Tribolium castaneum: one gene and its partner. The protein of the gene in region 1 interacts with the protein of each later gene in a pairwise test. Links are inferred from orthologs where the notes say so. Each region holds a gene or a part of one and is shown in the gene's direction. Other genes may lie near its edges.

What was found.
Region 2: the proteins of alpha- and gamma-adaptin-binding protein p34 (region 1) and AP-2sigma interact in binary tests that used the Homo sapiens proteins (3 or more experiments, as listed by UniProt). The link is inferred for Tribolium castaneum from reciprocal best matches to the Homo sapiens genes AAGAB and AP2S1.

What each region holds. Positions count from the first base shown.
Region 1 is NC_087402.1:2,419,635-2,423,257, reverse strand, and holds alpha- and gamma-adaptin-binding protein p34, read left to right. Parts: upstream 1-1,804; coding exon 1,805-2,575; 3' UTR 2,576-2,670; downstream 2,671-3,623. Other genes in the region: nclb (periodic tryptophan protein 1 homolog), read right to left, coding at 1-264, 310-903, 953-1,126, 1,181-1,260, 1,311-1,369, 1,416-1,505. UniProt on the Homo sapiens protein: May be involved in endocytic recycling of growth factor receptors such as EGFR.
Region 2 is NC_087396.1:14,083,805-14,087,376, forward strand, and holds AP-2sigma (AP-2 complex subunit sigma), read left to right. Parts: upstream 1-1,769; 5' UTR 1,770-1,903; coding exon 1,904-1,906; intron 1,907-1,986; coding exon 1,987-2,136; intron 2,137-2,178; coding exon 2,179-2,454; 3' UTR 2,455-2,647; downstream 2,648-3,572. Other genes in the region: uncharacterized protein LOC103313709, read left to right, coding at 1-121, 326-461, 508-552; Trax (translin-associated protein X), read right to left, coding at 590-774, 957-1,360, 1,411-1,630, 1,678-1,693. UniProt on the Homo sapiens protein: Component of the adaptor protein complex 2 (AP-2). Adaptor protein complexes function in protein transport via transport vesicles in different membrane traffic pathways.

The sequences.
Region 1 (3,623 bases):
TTCTCAAATCGTGAACTAGAAAATTATTAGATTTATTATCCCCTCCTGCCGCTATGACAAACGGCAAATCGGGCGACAAATCCAGGCACTGGACTGTCCCTAAACTAAAATCTTTTTCGAACACGAAAGTGGCTTCATTTTCGGTGTAGTCCCAAATTTTTATCGTCCCATCTGGCGACGATGTGACTAATAAACCGGGACATTGCGGACTCACAACCAACCCAGTGACTTCCTTTTCATGGGCTTCAACAGCCCACACTTGACCTAAATCTCGATTTTATCGACTGAATTTTACTAAAAACTCACTACCTTTTCTACAATCAAAATATTGCAAATTTCCGGTATCACTACCGGCGAAAAATGAAAACGGTTGTAGCGGGTTCCAGACCAGAGTTTCAACCTCCCCATTTATTTTCCACGTCTGATGTGTCTCAGGGTTGCGACAATCGAAAATTTTTGCTTTCTTGTCGCTAGACCCAGCTAGTAAAGTTTGCGCTTCCAGTTTGTGCCACTGCATGCACTGGACCTTGTCTTTGAACGCGGAAATGGTCGTACTTGGAGTTTTGTTCTCCAAGTCCCACAAAAGTATAGTTTTGTCAACTGAACCGCTAGCTAAGACGTGTTCGTAGGTTTTGTTCCAAGCCAAAGTTAAAACTGCGTCTTTGTGGCCGACGTGAGGTCGGTTTTTTTTAATACTTGCGGCTCGGCCTAAATTAAACGCGGGTTCTATGCAGTTAATTATGTCCAAGTCCCAGACTTGGATAATGGGGGTCATGGAACCTATAGCACAGTAACTGCCTTTTGGGGCGTTGGGTTCGTAGTCCAACCATTCGAAACAAAGTGGAAAGGCGGGAAGTAAGATATCGTGGTGGACGTAAAGTGATTCTTCCTCCTCGTTGTAAACTTGGAATAATTATTTTTTTGTTGGTTTTAATTCAAGTACAGTACTTACTGTACACTTCTAGCGAACTTGCGTCACCTTCCACATGTCCAACTAGAATTAAATTATCGTTAGGTTTGATAACTTCGTCTTCTTTGTCCGAATCGTCTGATTCAGAGAAGTTTTCTTCCTCATTATTTTGTAAATCAGCCAGTGAACTTATCCCCAAAGCCTCAGCGGTGCCTTCTAATAAAAAAAAGTCACGTAACGTAACGGTGTCGTAACACTAAGTTCAGTTACCGTCTTGTTCGTCATAATTTTCCAAATTGAACTCATCTTGAGCCGATGATTCACCTTGAGCATTTTCCTCATTTGTGACTCTGTTTTAAAAAACTGATTGGTGACAAGTAACAAAAACTCGAATACGTACCGAAGTTTCTTTTTTGTGGCTTTTATGACTTGTACGAGCTCGGCTTTGGACAATTGGACCTAAAAAACCGAGTCATGAGCGAGGTTACTGTATTTTGTAGATTACCTTTTCGGGTTGGCTTTTTGCCACTCCTTTCTTCACCCACTTGACGCAAGTGATGAAATTAACTCGATTTTCGGTGTCGTTTTCTTCCATTTAGCCAAAATTTTAGTAAAACGAGCTAGGTGTCAAACACACGTGTCGAATGTATTTAAGGTTATAAAAAATAACCTCAGTTTGTATGTTTTCGGCAATTTTTTAAAGAAACTTGACTAAATATGAGTATATGAGTTAATCAAAAAATTGTATTTTTTGTGTGTACCGTTAGCCTAACACGAGGGCCAGCCTTTTTGTATTTAGTCAAAATGTTATTGTTTTTGTGGTTATAAAAACACAACCTCAATTAAAACTTTGACACTTGTCAAACAGAAGATTAAAAATAGTTTTTTGTCAAAATGAGTGCAAAACCGAGTGTGGTTATCGTTAGTAGCAGTAGTACTAAGCCAAAGTCGTTAATTAAGCTCATAACGAAATGTGCGGACATCCAAGAGGACCCCCTTGACTCTACCAAGATCGTCCACACTTGGACAATCGATACCAAATATTATACCGCCGAAGTTGATGTAATTGGGATAACAGAACACCACGAAAGAAGTCAGGCATTTAATGACAACGTCGAGGCTCTAGTAATCCACATAGACACAAACAAGGAAAATGGTTTAAAGGACTTAGAAATGTGGTCCAGTTTACAAGAAGACTGCGATCCCGAGATCAAACTCCTAATCGCAAATTACTGTACCAACGAGACGAAAATCACCAAAGCTGCCGCTACAGAATGGTGTTTAAAGCACGGCTTTGAATTAATAGAACTGTACCCAGGATCGCAAACCTGCGACCAGGACATAATAGAGGAAAAAATTGGTGTTGAAAGGGTTATTGAAGCCCTCCAGACCCACACTTGGTCCAATCTGAATATGAAAAACCAAGAGAAAAACGACTTGAGCGTGAAAAATCAGAAGAAAAACGACAGTGTGGTCGAGTTGTGTGAGGAGTTTCTTACAAGTGAAGGAAGCGATGATTTTAGCGATTTATTCGCACAATTAAGCATGATGAAGGAGAGTTTGCAGTCTTTGCCGATGAATCAGAGGAAACAGTGCGCCGAGCAGGTGGTCACGGCGTTTTGGCGCGCAATTGGGGGAGATGAAGAGGAGATTGCAGATGTGTAAATTATTCCATTGCATTTAATTAAAATATTATAAAATAATTACAAATTAAAATATTACGTATTGTATCGTTATTTAATAAATAAATTTACGTCAGAGTGTGCTGTGACTATTTGACATGTCTGTAACTTTTGGGGTTATAACAATAATAACTGTCAGATGAAATGTAAAATGAAACGGTTTTTTATTTTTTCCTGCTCCCCTATCAGCTGTCTTCCCAAACAAACACCACCTGTTGAATCAGCTGATAGAGGCCACCACTTGGGTGGTGGGGAGAAGCCGTTGAGTCCGCGTGTCCAAAAAATAGAGGGAAAATTAGCGCGCCCGGGAAACGATGGTCCTGTGAGGTTAACTCGGGACTCGGGCGTTTTTCCAAGAACATCACTAAAATAGTCATTTTTGAACCCCCAAAATGGCCGAAGAAGACGAAAGGGTTGAGCCCCGCCGTTCAGCCCGACTGGCTTTAACCGAAATCCACTTTAATGAAGCCAATCACGAAACGCCCAATAAAAACGCCAGTGCCGACGAAATGGTAATTATTCAAAGAGGACCCAGGAGAAAACCCATCATTTGGTCGCCAGTGGATCAAGACAGGACCCCCGCAAGGAAAACGGCCAAGGAAAAGTCCGTTGAGACGTTGCCGAAACGCCCCAGTTTAAACCCGAAACTCAGGAGACGCCTCATTATGAGCCCCACGAAGAATTCAGGGGAGTTGGGACTCGCCATCGCCAAGAAATTGCGAAGCTTGCCGGCTTTCTCACAGGAATTGAGACAGGAAGCGTCACAGATTTAGTTTATAGGTGTGTAGTTTATGTAACAGTTTTTTATTCATGTGCCTTGGAGTATTTTTTTAATAAAATAAAGACGTTCGATTTGTACAATAGTTTTATTTCGTACTACATAAAAATTGCACAAATATTTTATTATTCAATGGGTACCACAGACTTTCTTACAATACTTTTTGCGCTCAGACTAGAAGAATAGTTCAATGAAAAACCAAAAAAACCGTCAGCTTGTTTCAAGAGAAGCGATAAGCCATGTTTTTAATTAA
Region 2 (3,572 bases), on another chromosome or scaffold:
TTTATTTAAAAGATCCAAGCAATTTGTACGACATTATGGTGAATGACTGTTGGGCCTTTGACGACCAAAATTACGAAACGGCCAAGAACAAATTACATTTAACGGAAGAACACTCCAGGAGGTAATAACTACACTGAGTATAAATAAAAACATGGTGAAAAGTGCTTTGCAAATTTCATGAACGTTGTCTCATGTAAAAAAAACATTTTTTTTAGTTTATTTAAAAAAGACAACTAAAAATTGATCAATTTAAAATTTGCGGGGCCCTCTTGGCTACGTTTTTTATTATAATCACGATGCATATACAACCAACTTTTTATTTTAGGAAACGCAAACTTATAGATAAATGGTATAAAAGTGACAAACTTAAAGGAAGCAGCCTGAAATGCTTTCTGTATACAGACATGCCGTCCTTTAAATTCCCTGATAAAGATCAGGTGTTTATGAAATGTGATATTCAGGTGAGGGTTATTAAAACAAGATAAATAATCAATTTTTTATTTCCAGTTATGCTTCAAAAGTTGTGACAAACTTAAAAAAATAATAACTTAAAATTTGTGCTTACAAACTATTGTGTAAATTAAGAGACTCAGTAAAAACCCTCATCTTCTTCAGTGTTCATGTCACTAGATTCAATAACGTTGACCAACATGTGTTTTGGAATTTCAGATCCTCTTATTTGTATATTGTAACACACAAGTTCCATTTTAGCCAGGCTTTGTTTCAGAACGTATGTTTTACGACCCATTTCTTTAGCTCCTGGATTTATAATGCCTAGAATAAAATAACATTTTGTATATTTTTTTACACAAATACACTTTTATTCTTGGTTTTTTTTTAATCAACACAGATAGGCAACCAACATTACAGTCAAGTATACTGTGGAGTATTTCCCCTATTTTACGGCCGATTCCAGAAAAATAATTTTTCTACCTAATTTTTGAGTTAGAACTTACCTAAAAACCCTGTGTAGATATCTTTCACAAAATTACAAGTTTTGAAACAGTCGCTCACATTTCCTACTCCCAAATTGTTAATGCAACGTCTCATTAATTCTCCCGTAAAATCCGCAATTCCTAATATGAAATCAAGCTGTGGAAATAAAAGACTGAATTTTTCACCATCTTGCTCATACTGGAAAAATTTATTGATAGACTCCCAACTTTCAATTTTATTGGAATGCAGGAACTGATAAAAAACCAAGGCTTCAATAAATTCCTGTAGGCCACTTGTGTAAGCCTTCTGATATTGATAAGAATCAAAATCTTTGAGAATTGAAGCTATAGTTTTAAAATTCTCATCTGTTATAACTTTCAGTCTTTTGCAAGCTTCATCCAAGACAGCTTCTCTTTTCCCTTCTCTACAATTGTTTAGACTATTAAAACAGATTATAAACAACAACAATCATACATATCAGTGTTTGTAGAATGTAGCAAGAAAATGATACGCTTGTTTTCGATTGTAATATCTCGACTCAGTTTTACAATTTTTTCGTAACGGTCGTGTTTCTCATCCAGTTCTTTCCGAAATCCAAGAAACATCTTAATTACACGGTTATTCTCGTCAATATTTTCCAGCACTTGGCGCCCCTTTTCGCCAACTGTAATTTTCGATTTACCATGTCTTGAATCTAAAGTTCAACAATGTCATGAATGAAAGTTAATATTTCCAACATACTTCTATTTCGCGACATGATAAGACTTAAATGTTTACATAAAAAAATACATTCAAGAAGAATCAAATTAATTTATGGACACTCCTAACCTCAATTATCACTGTCAGACTGACAGTGACACCTAAAATCCCTAGAAGTGCCCCAAAAAATTGTTATCTGACTCGTTGGGAGGAGGTTTTGTTCAATTAAATAACAAAACCTGCCGAATTATTATCAGAAATTTAAAAAATGGTGAGTTACTGGTGTTGTACTACGTTTGTGAATTGTTCTCGACAAGCTTAATCGATTCTAACCAATTGTTTGACTCCCAGATTCGTTTTATATTAATCCAAAACCGGGCGGGTAAAACACGTCTAGCTAAATGGTACATGAACTTCGACGACGACGAGAAGCAGAAACTGATAGAGGAGGTGCACGCCGTGGTCACAGTTCGCGACGCGAAACACACAAATTTTGTTGAGGTGAGTTGTCCAAATGGGGGCTTGAATGATGCCTTTTTGTAGTTCCGCAACTTCAAGATTGTCTACCGTCGATACGCCGGCCTCTACTTTTGCATATGCGTCGACGTGAACGACAATAACTTGTGCTACTTGGAAGCAATACATAACTTTGTTGAAGTACTCAATGAATATTTTCACAATGTTTGTGAGCTAGACCTCGTTTTTAATTTTTACAAAGTGTATACCGTTGTTGACGAGATGTTCCTGGCGGGCGAAATCAGGGAGACGTCCCAGACCAAAGTACTCAAGCAGTTGCTAATGTTGAACTCACTTGAATAATTTTATCAAAAACGATATCATATTGTAGAATCTTATTTTATGCCATTCCTGTTTTTGTGTATATGTTTAAATGCAGGACCGTTGTTTAAGTTAGAAAATATCGGCAAGATTGGGTGTATATCTGAAGTGTAAATTTCTTATTGATTTAATTATGAATTATGTATGAAGAGCCAACATGAACAATATAAATACATTCCGAATTTTTATTTATTGTAAGTATAGAAGTGTATAAATGCTGGTGTTCAAATATAAAAGTTAATAAAAGCTTCAAGTTTTACCTTGTGAAATTTGGCATTTTCTATTATGCCTCAACTGTTACGGGCAACAGTTACGTCTTCTTCATCTAAAATGCCTTCTGGAATACTTCGCATGCGTTTTCTGTTTCTGCTTGATAATTTTGTCTCCACGTTAGGGAGATTAAGTGATGGAACTGCAGTTTTTTTAAGTCTCGCCTTTTTTACAATTGCTGCTGAATCTTATTCAACAATTAATACATGAAATAATTCTTACATCATTTCGTTAAACTAAATAAAAACGTGGTCAAGAGTACTCTCATCTTAACCAAGTTCTTTGGACTTACCATGCAGTTATGGTAAAGGTACTTACTCTTGGGAAGGTAATCTTTTCTGAAATGAAGCGAACAAACTCTTATTTTTGGAGAAACTTCTTTCTTCATCAATAATACTTCCAAGAGCTTTCTCCTGCTTACTTTTTCTTTACCCCCACATAGTCGTTGGTGGTTCGTCAGAAGATATGAAAATGCAAATCTCTATGTTCATCCTCGACTTGCAACCAAGAATACAATTTGTGTTGCGAACGATTTTGAAATAGATTTTGGGCATTTTGGTTTATAAACCAAAAAAAACATTTACTTATAAATAACTACTTAGAACAAGTAAATTACTGTAAATAATAATAATGGCAGTTAGATCTCACACCTTCCAATCCGTGCAAAATTTTTCAGAACTGCCTTTAAGCAGTTCTGAAAGCTCCTGCCAGAGTGCAGTAAGCTGCTAAGCTGTGGCTAAGCGCTACGTTATTTGAAATCACAGGGTACACATGGAGTTATCAAAAAAGACTGCTTATTGAGAGAACCGTAATCACAAACCCTTTCACCT